Drosophila melanogaster: one gene and its partner. The gene in region 1 interacts genetically with each later gene. Each region holds a gene or a part of one and is shown on either strand. Other genes may lie near its edges.

Region 1 (4,102 bases):
CGATGTGGGAATCCGGAGGCGCCACCAATAAACTACAACAGAAGCATTGAAATTTTCGATTTTCCACACACAGACACAGGCAGCCGCCAGCACACCCTCCCCTCCCCTATCCCACTGACCCAGTGGGCATGACATTGAAACGTGACGCAGCATCCAACCCCTGATGCCCACGCCTCCAGTCCAAAAAGTGGGTGAGGTCATGCTGCCAGGACACGAGTGTTTGCCAGTCTGGGCTGATGCAACCAATTCAGTCAGTGGGGGAATCTTCAGTCTTCTTTCTTTGCCAATTCTGTTGGCTATTTTTTTGGCATTGCGCAGGTGAAAATCAAGGCAATATATTTTTATCTGTTTGTTTGTAAAAAGCAATTAAAGTTTTCCCTTAATGTAAACTTGGAAATTTGTTCAAAGAACATACATATGTACATACTCTAAACAAATGCTTAATTCTTATGATTACCATTGCTTTTGAAAACATTGATCTTTTTATTAGCCATGCTTAAAGATTAGCAGCTCGCTTCAAAGTTAAACAAAGTTTATTATTGAAAGTATTGTATGTTACTTTTTTTTTATTATTTTAATAAGAATATACATTAATATAATATTATCATTTCTACCTTTTGCAATTCCTATTTGTATGACCGCAACTGTAACGGCATGTGAAGTGAAAAACATTGGCATGGTTGAGTTATCAACCATTGGACATGCGATAAGACAACACACCCAATCTATTGAATACTCTTAGTCAGACCTACGAGAAGACCACATACTCCTCATACTGACCGAGAATCCTGCGCTTGGGCCGCTGCAACGCCTCGTGGCCCAAGGTCAGACAGACGGGCTGATCCTTGTAGACGCCCTGCTCCTGGAGCACAGCGTGCGGAGCACATCGCCAGGGATCCTTGGTGGCTACCTGCCAGTCGAACAGTTGCTCGCGTAACTGCTTCAGGGTGCCATTGTACTTGGCCTTATCGGCCAGATTGAAACGCTCCAAGGGATCCGTCTTAATGTCGTACAGCTCCCATTCGGGTCGCTGGTAGTACTGCAACAAGGAACGATACCATGGCAGAGTTTGCTTCCTGAGAGTGGCATTCAATATCTGCTGGAATGTGGGTGAAGTGTAAAAGTCCTGGTCGATGGGGAAGTCTGCCCAGTAGTTGATATTATGGATAAGCTTGTAGCGCCTATTGCGCACCATTCTCATGGGATAGGCCATGGTCACCTCGTGGTAACTGTGACTACCGAACACCGAATCGCTCTCCTTGATCGGAGGTTCCTCCCGCAGTACTGGGAGTATCGATCTGCCAACGATTTTGGTGTCATTCGGTCGGGGAATCTGAAGAGCATCCATTACACTGGGGTATATATCCAAAAGACTGACCATGGCAGCAGTGGCTTCATGATGACGATCCTCCTTATTGGGAGAGCTAATGATCAGGGGCGATCGTATGCCGTGCTCGTAGAGATTGGTTCTGCCTCCGGGAAACGGTGGTCCATTGTCGGAGGTGTAGATCACGAGTGTCTGATCTGCCACGCCGGCTGCTTCTAGCTCCTTCAGCATTAGACCAACTCCCTGATCCAACCTCGAGATGGTCATGTACTGAGCAGCCAGCTCCTGACGCACTACATCCGTGTCGGGCAGCCAGGCGGGCACGTCCAGGTTACGCCAATCGTAGTAGATGGGCTTCCAGTCGGGTATGCTGCCCATTCCCTCCTCTCCGCTGCCCCAACGCTCACAGAATTCTCCAAACTGCGGGGTGATGTGGCCACAACGATGGGGATCATGGAAGCCGACCATCAGGAAGAAGGGTTTCTTTTCGTCCTTGGCCTGCTTGAGAAACTGCCTGGCATACTCCTTCATCCGGGTGATGTTTCTGCCAATCTGGTTGATGGAATGCTGCTCCTCTGTTTGCTCGAAATCGAAACGGAAATTGTTGGCGGCCCCAACATGTTTCTTGCCAATGATGCCGCTCAAGATCCGTCCGCCACTTTGATCACGGATTAAATTGGGCAGCGATCCGGTATCCGGAAGAACATTGAAGTTGTGCACGCCCTGATGGAGTCCATACATTCCGCTGGAGTGACCAGCCTGGCCGGTGAGCAACTGCGAGCGACTGGGACTGCAACTGCTTACCGAGGTGAAGGCGTTGTTGAAAAGCAATCCGCGTTTTGCCAGTGCGTCCAGATTGGGAGTTTGGCAGAATTTGTTCAGATAGGCGCCCGATTCGAAGCCGGCATCGTCAGCCAGAAGCAGCAGGACATTCTGCGGGCCAGCGGAGCAACCAGCAATTAGCCATAGTGTAAAAATCCACTGCAGAAATTGCATGTTGACATAAATCCAGTTCCAAATCCAAATTAAATATATTTGAGAGCGCAGAACAAAGCGATTCTTCAGTCGACGTCAGCGTACTGAAGTACGGCTCAAGAGAGCCGCATACTTTTAAGTGTCCACAAAGCCTCTCATTTCTCCGTTCTCCGTTTAAGACGCATTCAATTCCATTCCCAGTTCCAGTTTTAATCTCATCAACACAACAAATGCTCAGCGGGAGCGCGCCTAGGTACATTCACTTTGCCCGACTTTCTTTGGGAGCGGTTTGACTACAGTCAACACACCATACAGAGAACTAAAGTGTGAGGGTACTGTACAGTCATACGATTAAAGAATCATCATAAATATCAGTGAGATATATCTGAACAGTATAAAAAACAGCACTTCCACAAAAAAAATGTTTCATTTGAAATTTAAAATGCTTTAAAAACACTTTACATTTATAAACCATTAAAACACAGCCAATGAGCTGTTATAAAACATATGTACATTTAACTAGTATATATTCAACTGTATTGTATTGTAACATTTTGTGTACTTTGGTAAATTATAACCCGCCATATAATAATAAGCAGTATTCTTTTGTGACAGACATGGAAATAGATTTAAATCACCAAGAGTTTGGTTTGCATGACTCTGGCCATTAGGTGATCAACACGTTGTACTTTCTGATTTTATCTTGCGCCATGGAGAAGATAAAAGCAGGAACAGTGTCGCCAAATGGAACCACGTCAGGGTGTCAAGGCCAATCGCAAAGTGCAATGCGATTGTATGTTTTGAAAAATTATAAATCTACAAAACAAATGTTCGTTCTGCTTGTTTAGGCTTTTCTGTGTCGAAATGCGCAGTTTCTTCCAGCGACTAAAGAGTTTTCACATTGGGTGAGCTCATCTTATGTAAGTGGACAACCCCCAAAATGAATCATCGGCCGGCTAATTTAAGCCAGCCAGCCAGCTACAGTTTAAGCCACCCCCTTTTTGCCCTGCACCGGTGTGAAAATTTCGCCCAACATGTTTAACAACACTATGAGTTTTCCAAAAGTTGTGGCAACATGTTGCCAAGAGATTTTCGCAGTCTCTGGCAACAAGCCAACAATACGAATCAGCTGGGCCAGACTAAAACAGCTGTTGCAACGTGTGGCAAGTGTTGCATCAGCCAATCTCAACCAGCGAGAGAGAGTTTCACTCACGTGGAGAGAAAGAGTGCGAATCTGTATTGTTTGTTGTTGCTGCATGGCAGGCTGCCAAACCAGTTGCCCTATACCTTTTGGAGCGGACATAGGTGACATATGTAACCATAAATACTTACATTTACATTAAAAATCCTGTGAATGATCATATGAATATAAATGAATATTTAGGCGCGAAAAAATACGCAAAGTATTGAACTATACTTAAGTTTCGCGGCTTTTTATTAAATACCAGTTTATTAACCCTTTGTGAGCAAACATAGTTGCTATTACTTACAACCTTAATATCTACGTTTCTAAATTATCTGGGTGCAGAGTAAAATTTATTCTTTTTTTTTAGCTTCTCTTATCTATTGTAGCCAATTTAGACCGAAATGCTATCTGTGCAATTTTCAGACTGTCGCTAGCCAAATAATATGAACGGCTATGAATAATCTGTCTGCGTTTTGCACAGTTTATTGAAAATATATATATTTTTTGTTATATTAACTTAACTGTGTTGTATGTAATACTTTGCCTCAAGTTAATAGCACATGGAAATTTTTTTTTTTCAGAACTTAAATCAGTTGATGCTAATGCATTGTTTA
Region 2 (3,287 bases), on another chromosome or scaffold:
ATATTTGAACACCCTCCTTAACTAAAAACACTTTCGATGGACTATGGCGGAACCAACTTCTTCGTACTCCAAGCTGTCGATCCACATGTTTTGGAAGCTCGTGAGTGAGGCCAAGACGGAACCACCCGTCCAAACGGAGAATCTGCGGTCTGGACTAGCGTTAACCTTGATTCGGATGGATGGTGGAGCCATTTCGGTTAGGTCTTGCAGGAATCTATGCTCGATGTTACGAAACATGGTCGTACCGCCAGAGAGAACAATGTTCGCATACATATCCTTTCGCAGATCCATGTCGCAGTTGGTTATCGAGTGATGGGTGGCCTCGTGGATGCCCATCACCTCCTGACCCAGCAAACTGGGTTGGAAGAGAGCCTCCGGGCAGCGGAATCTCTCGCAGCCCAAAACGATTTTCTGCCCATCTGGCAGCTCATAGGTTTCCACCTTTCCGTGGAGATCCATTTCCTTGGCATAGTTCATTGACACATAGCAGAGTTTCTCCTTGATTTCACGCACGATTTCCCGTTCAGCAGAGGTGCCCATTGTAACGCCCCTCTCCAGAAGCAGCTTGCATAGATAATCGGTGAGGTCCCTGCCGGCCAGATCAACTCGTACACAGGCGTGGGGCAGGGCAAATCCTTCGTAGATCGGTACCGTGTGCGTCACACCATCACCCGAGTCCACCACAATGCCCACAGTACGCCCGGTGGCGTAAAGTGAGAGCACAGCCTGAACTGCTACATAAAAAGCTGGCACCTGAAAGTGTTCGAACATAATCTCTGTCATCTTCTCTCTATTCTTCTTCGGATTCAGTGGGGCTTCGGTGAGTAGAGCCGGCAAATCCATTGGATCCGCCCGCAAGAGCTCGTACGTGTGCTGCCAAACCATCTCCATTTCATCCCAGTTCTTGACCATTCCGTGCTCGATGGGATACTTTAGGGTTAGTATTCCCCTTTTTCGGGCTGCCGCCTCGCCAATAACACTATCACCGATCACGGAATCCAGCAGGACGTTCAGGTGACGAGGTCTGCCCACAATCGACGGGAAGACAGCACGGGGAGTATCTTCTGGGGAGAATCCAGCCTTACATACTCCAGAGCCGTTGTCAATAACCACTGCGGCGTGGTGTGAATTACTATCTACCTCGCTGCTCATGTTTCCAGGAGAGGTTGCTGAACGAATCATGGTCAAATCATAAAATCTTTAGCTTATTTAAGCAACTTACGTAAATGTAGATATTTGTGAAGAATGTTCTGTGCCCGTTTATTTGTTATATCGATTTTGATTCGGGAAGGTATTTGAAATGTAGACATGTTGTGTGCTGTGTTCCAGTCGGATTTTTAAACTTATGACGTTAATTTCATGGTTTATTTCCAATTTAGCGCCATGACATACAGAGGCCAAAAATCGATTAATTCAAGTATCAATCGAATGGATGCAGTCGATACGTAAGCAGCTAAAATATGCTAATAGTCACTAAAGTAGTATTTAAACATAAGAAATATTTAAGAAATCCTCAATATGATTTGAATATGTTTCAGTGCAATGTTTCAATTAAAAATAGTTTTTAATTTCTTTTAGTTTTACTATTTAACTTCAATATATATAAGTTGATCTCACATCACTGACTGATTGGGGTCTTTCGATATTTTCTCATCTGCTCATCTCTAGCAGTAAATTGTTCAAATAGAACAAGCGAAATAACGAGAACGTAAGCCTTGTTTTATTTGATATAAAATCTGATATCGGGACTTAGCCTTATTAGCAGTCGAATAAAACGCAGATATGTTCGTGGCCCGTAAAATTTCGCAAACTGCAAGGTAAGTTGCGAAAAAAAGTATGCCCAAATCGATGCCGGCTGATTACATAAATAGCAACAAATGGCGACCCTGATCTTGAGGACATTATAAAACAAGACACACTTAACCCTTTGCAGCCTGGCGGTGCGTGGCAAGCACACCCTACCGAAGCTGCCCTACGACTATGCCGCCCTGGAGCCTATCATCTGCCGGGAGATCATGGAGCTGCATCACCAGAAGCACCACCAGACCTACGTCAACAATCTAAATGCCGCCGAGGAGCAGCTGGAGGAGGCCAAGTCGAAGAGCGACACCACCAAGCTGATTCAGCTGGCTCCTGCCCTGCGTTTCAATGGCGGTGGCCACATCAACCACACCATCTTCTGGCAGAACCTCTCGCCCAACAAGACCCAGCCCAGCGATGATCTGAAGAAGGCCATCGAGTCGCAGTGGAAGAGCCTCGAGGAGTTCAAAAAGGAGCTGACCACGCTGACCGTGGCGGTCCAGGGCTCCGGCTGGGGCTGGCTGGGCTTCAACAAGAAGTCGGGCAAACTGCAACTGGCCGCCCTGCCCAACCAGGATCCCCTGGAGGCCTCCACCGGCCTGATCCCGCTCTTCGGCATCGATGTCTGGGAGCACGCCTACTATCTGCAGTACAAGAACGTGCGTCCCTCCTACGTGGAGGCCATCTGGGACATCGCCAACTGGGATGACATCTCGTGCCGCTTCCAGGAGGCCAAGAAGCTCGGTTGCTAAGCACAGCCGGCGATTGCGTATGTTTAATCTATAAGCATCTGCGGATCGGAGATCCTAAATTGTAGTCTAAGTTGCGGCTAATAAATTGGTACCAGCTAGCAACTAATTTTTATAATTTTTATGAATGGGAATAAAACAATTTAAAACATAATTTCCGAAGATAACGCTTCACAAAGGCGTATTGAAACTATTACTTCATTGAGGAATTAAAAAATATACATATACCTATTCATATTTTTTATTTTTATCAATTTTATTACGCTCCAAAAAAATTAATTTTTATATTAAATTAAAATATCGCAAATACTGTAAATGTTTTACAACACTGCCGCCCATGGTGCCATCTCTAGCAAATCAGCTGTGCGCGAGCCAAACAAAAACAAAACAAAAGTCAGCCTGCCGCGAAATCGGGGGAGGAAAATTGACATTTCCACCGAGTTTTCCCGAACTTGCGTGCGCGCAGCTGCAAACAATTTTCCAGCACGCGTATCCGAATGGTGGAACAAATGGCCAGCCGCTGGCAGAGTCGTTTGTTGCCTGTTCGCGTAATGGCCATCCTCGAAAATCGCCCGGAGTTTTGAAATCGAGAGACCAGTACGAAACAAAGGAAAATCATTTAATTTCCTGAGGGCGGTGACGAATGAAAAACATACAAAATAAACCACTTGAGTGCAATAATAATTTAATAAAGAACTGTGATTGTGAGTGTGTGAGGAGAACTGTTGACGCCCATCA

What was found.
Region 2: of Sgsh (region 1) and Sod2, changing one enhances a phenotype caused by changing the other (phenotypic enhancement), as found in Drosophila melanogaster (one study listed by BioGRID).

The regions. Positions count from the first base shown.
Region 1 is NT_033777.3:18,910,512-18,914,613, forward strand, and holds Sgsh (N-sulfoglucosamine sulfohydrolase), read right to left. Parts: upstream 2,412-4,102; 5' UTR 2,324-2,411; coding exon 749-2,323; 3' UTR 542-748; downstream 1-541.
Region 2 is NT_033778.4:16,772,285-16,775,571, reverse strand, and holds Sod2 (superoxide dismutase 2 (Mn)), read left to right. Parts: upstream 1-1,656; 5' UTR 1,657-1,782; coding exon 1,783-1,817; intron 1,818-1,933; coding exon 1,934-2,552; 3' UTR 2,553-2,787; downstream 2,788-3,287. Other genes in the region: Arp53D (Actin-related protein 53D), read right to left, coding at 22-1,169, 1,223-1,310. UniProt on the Drosophila melanogaster protein: Destroys superoxide anion radicals which are normally produced within the cells and which are toxic to biological systems.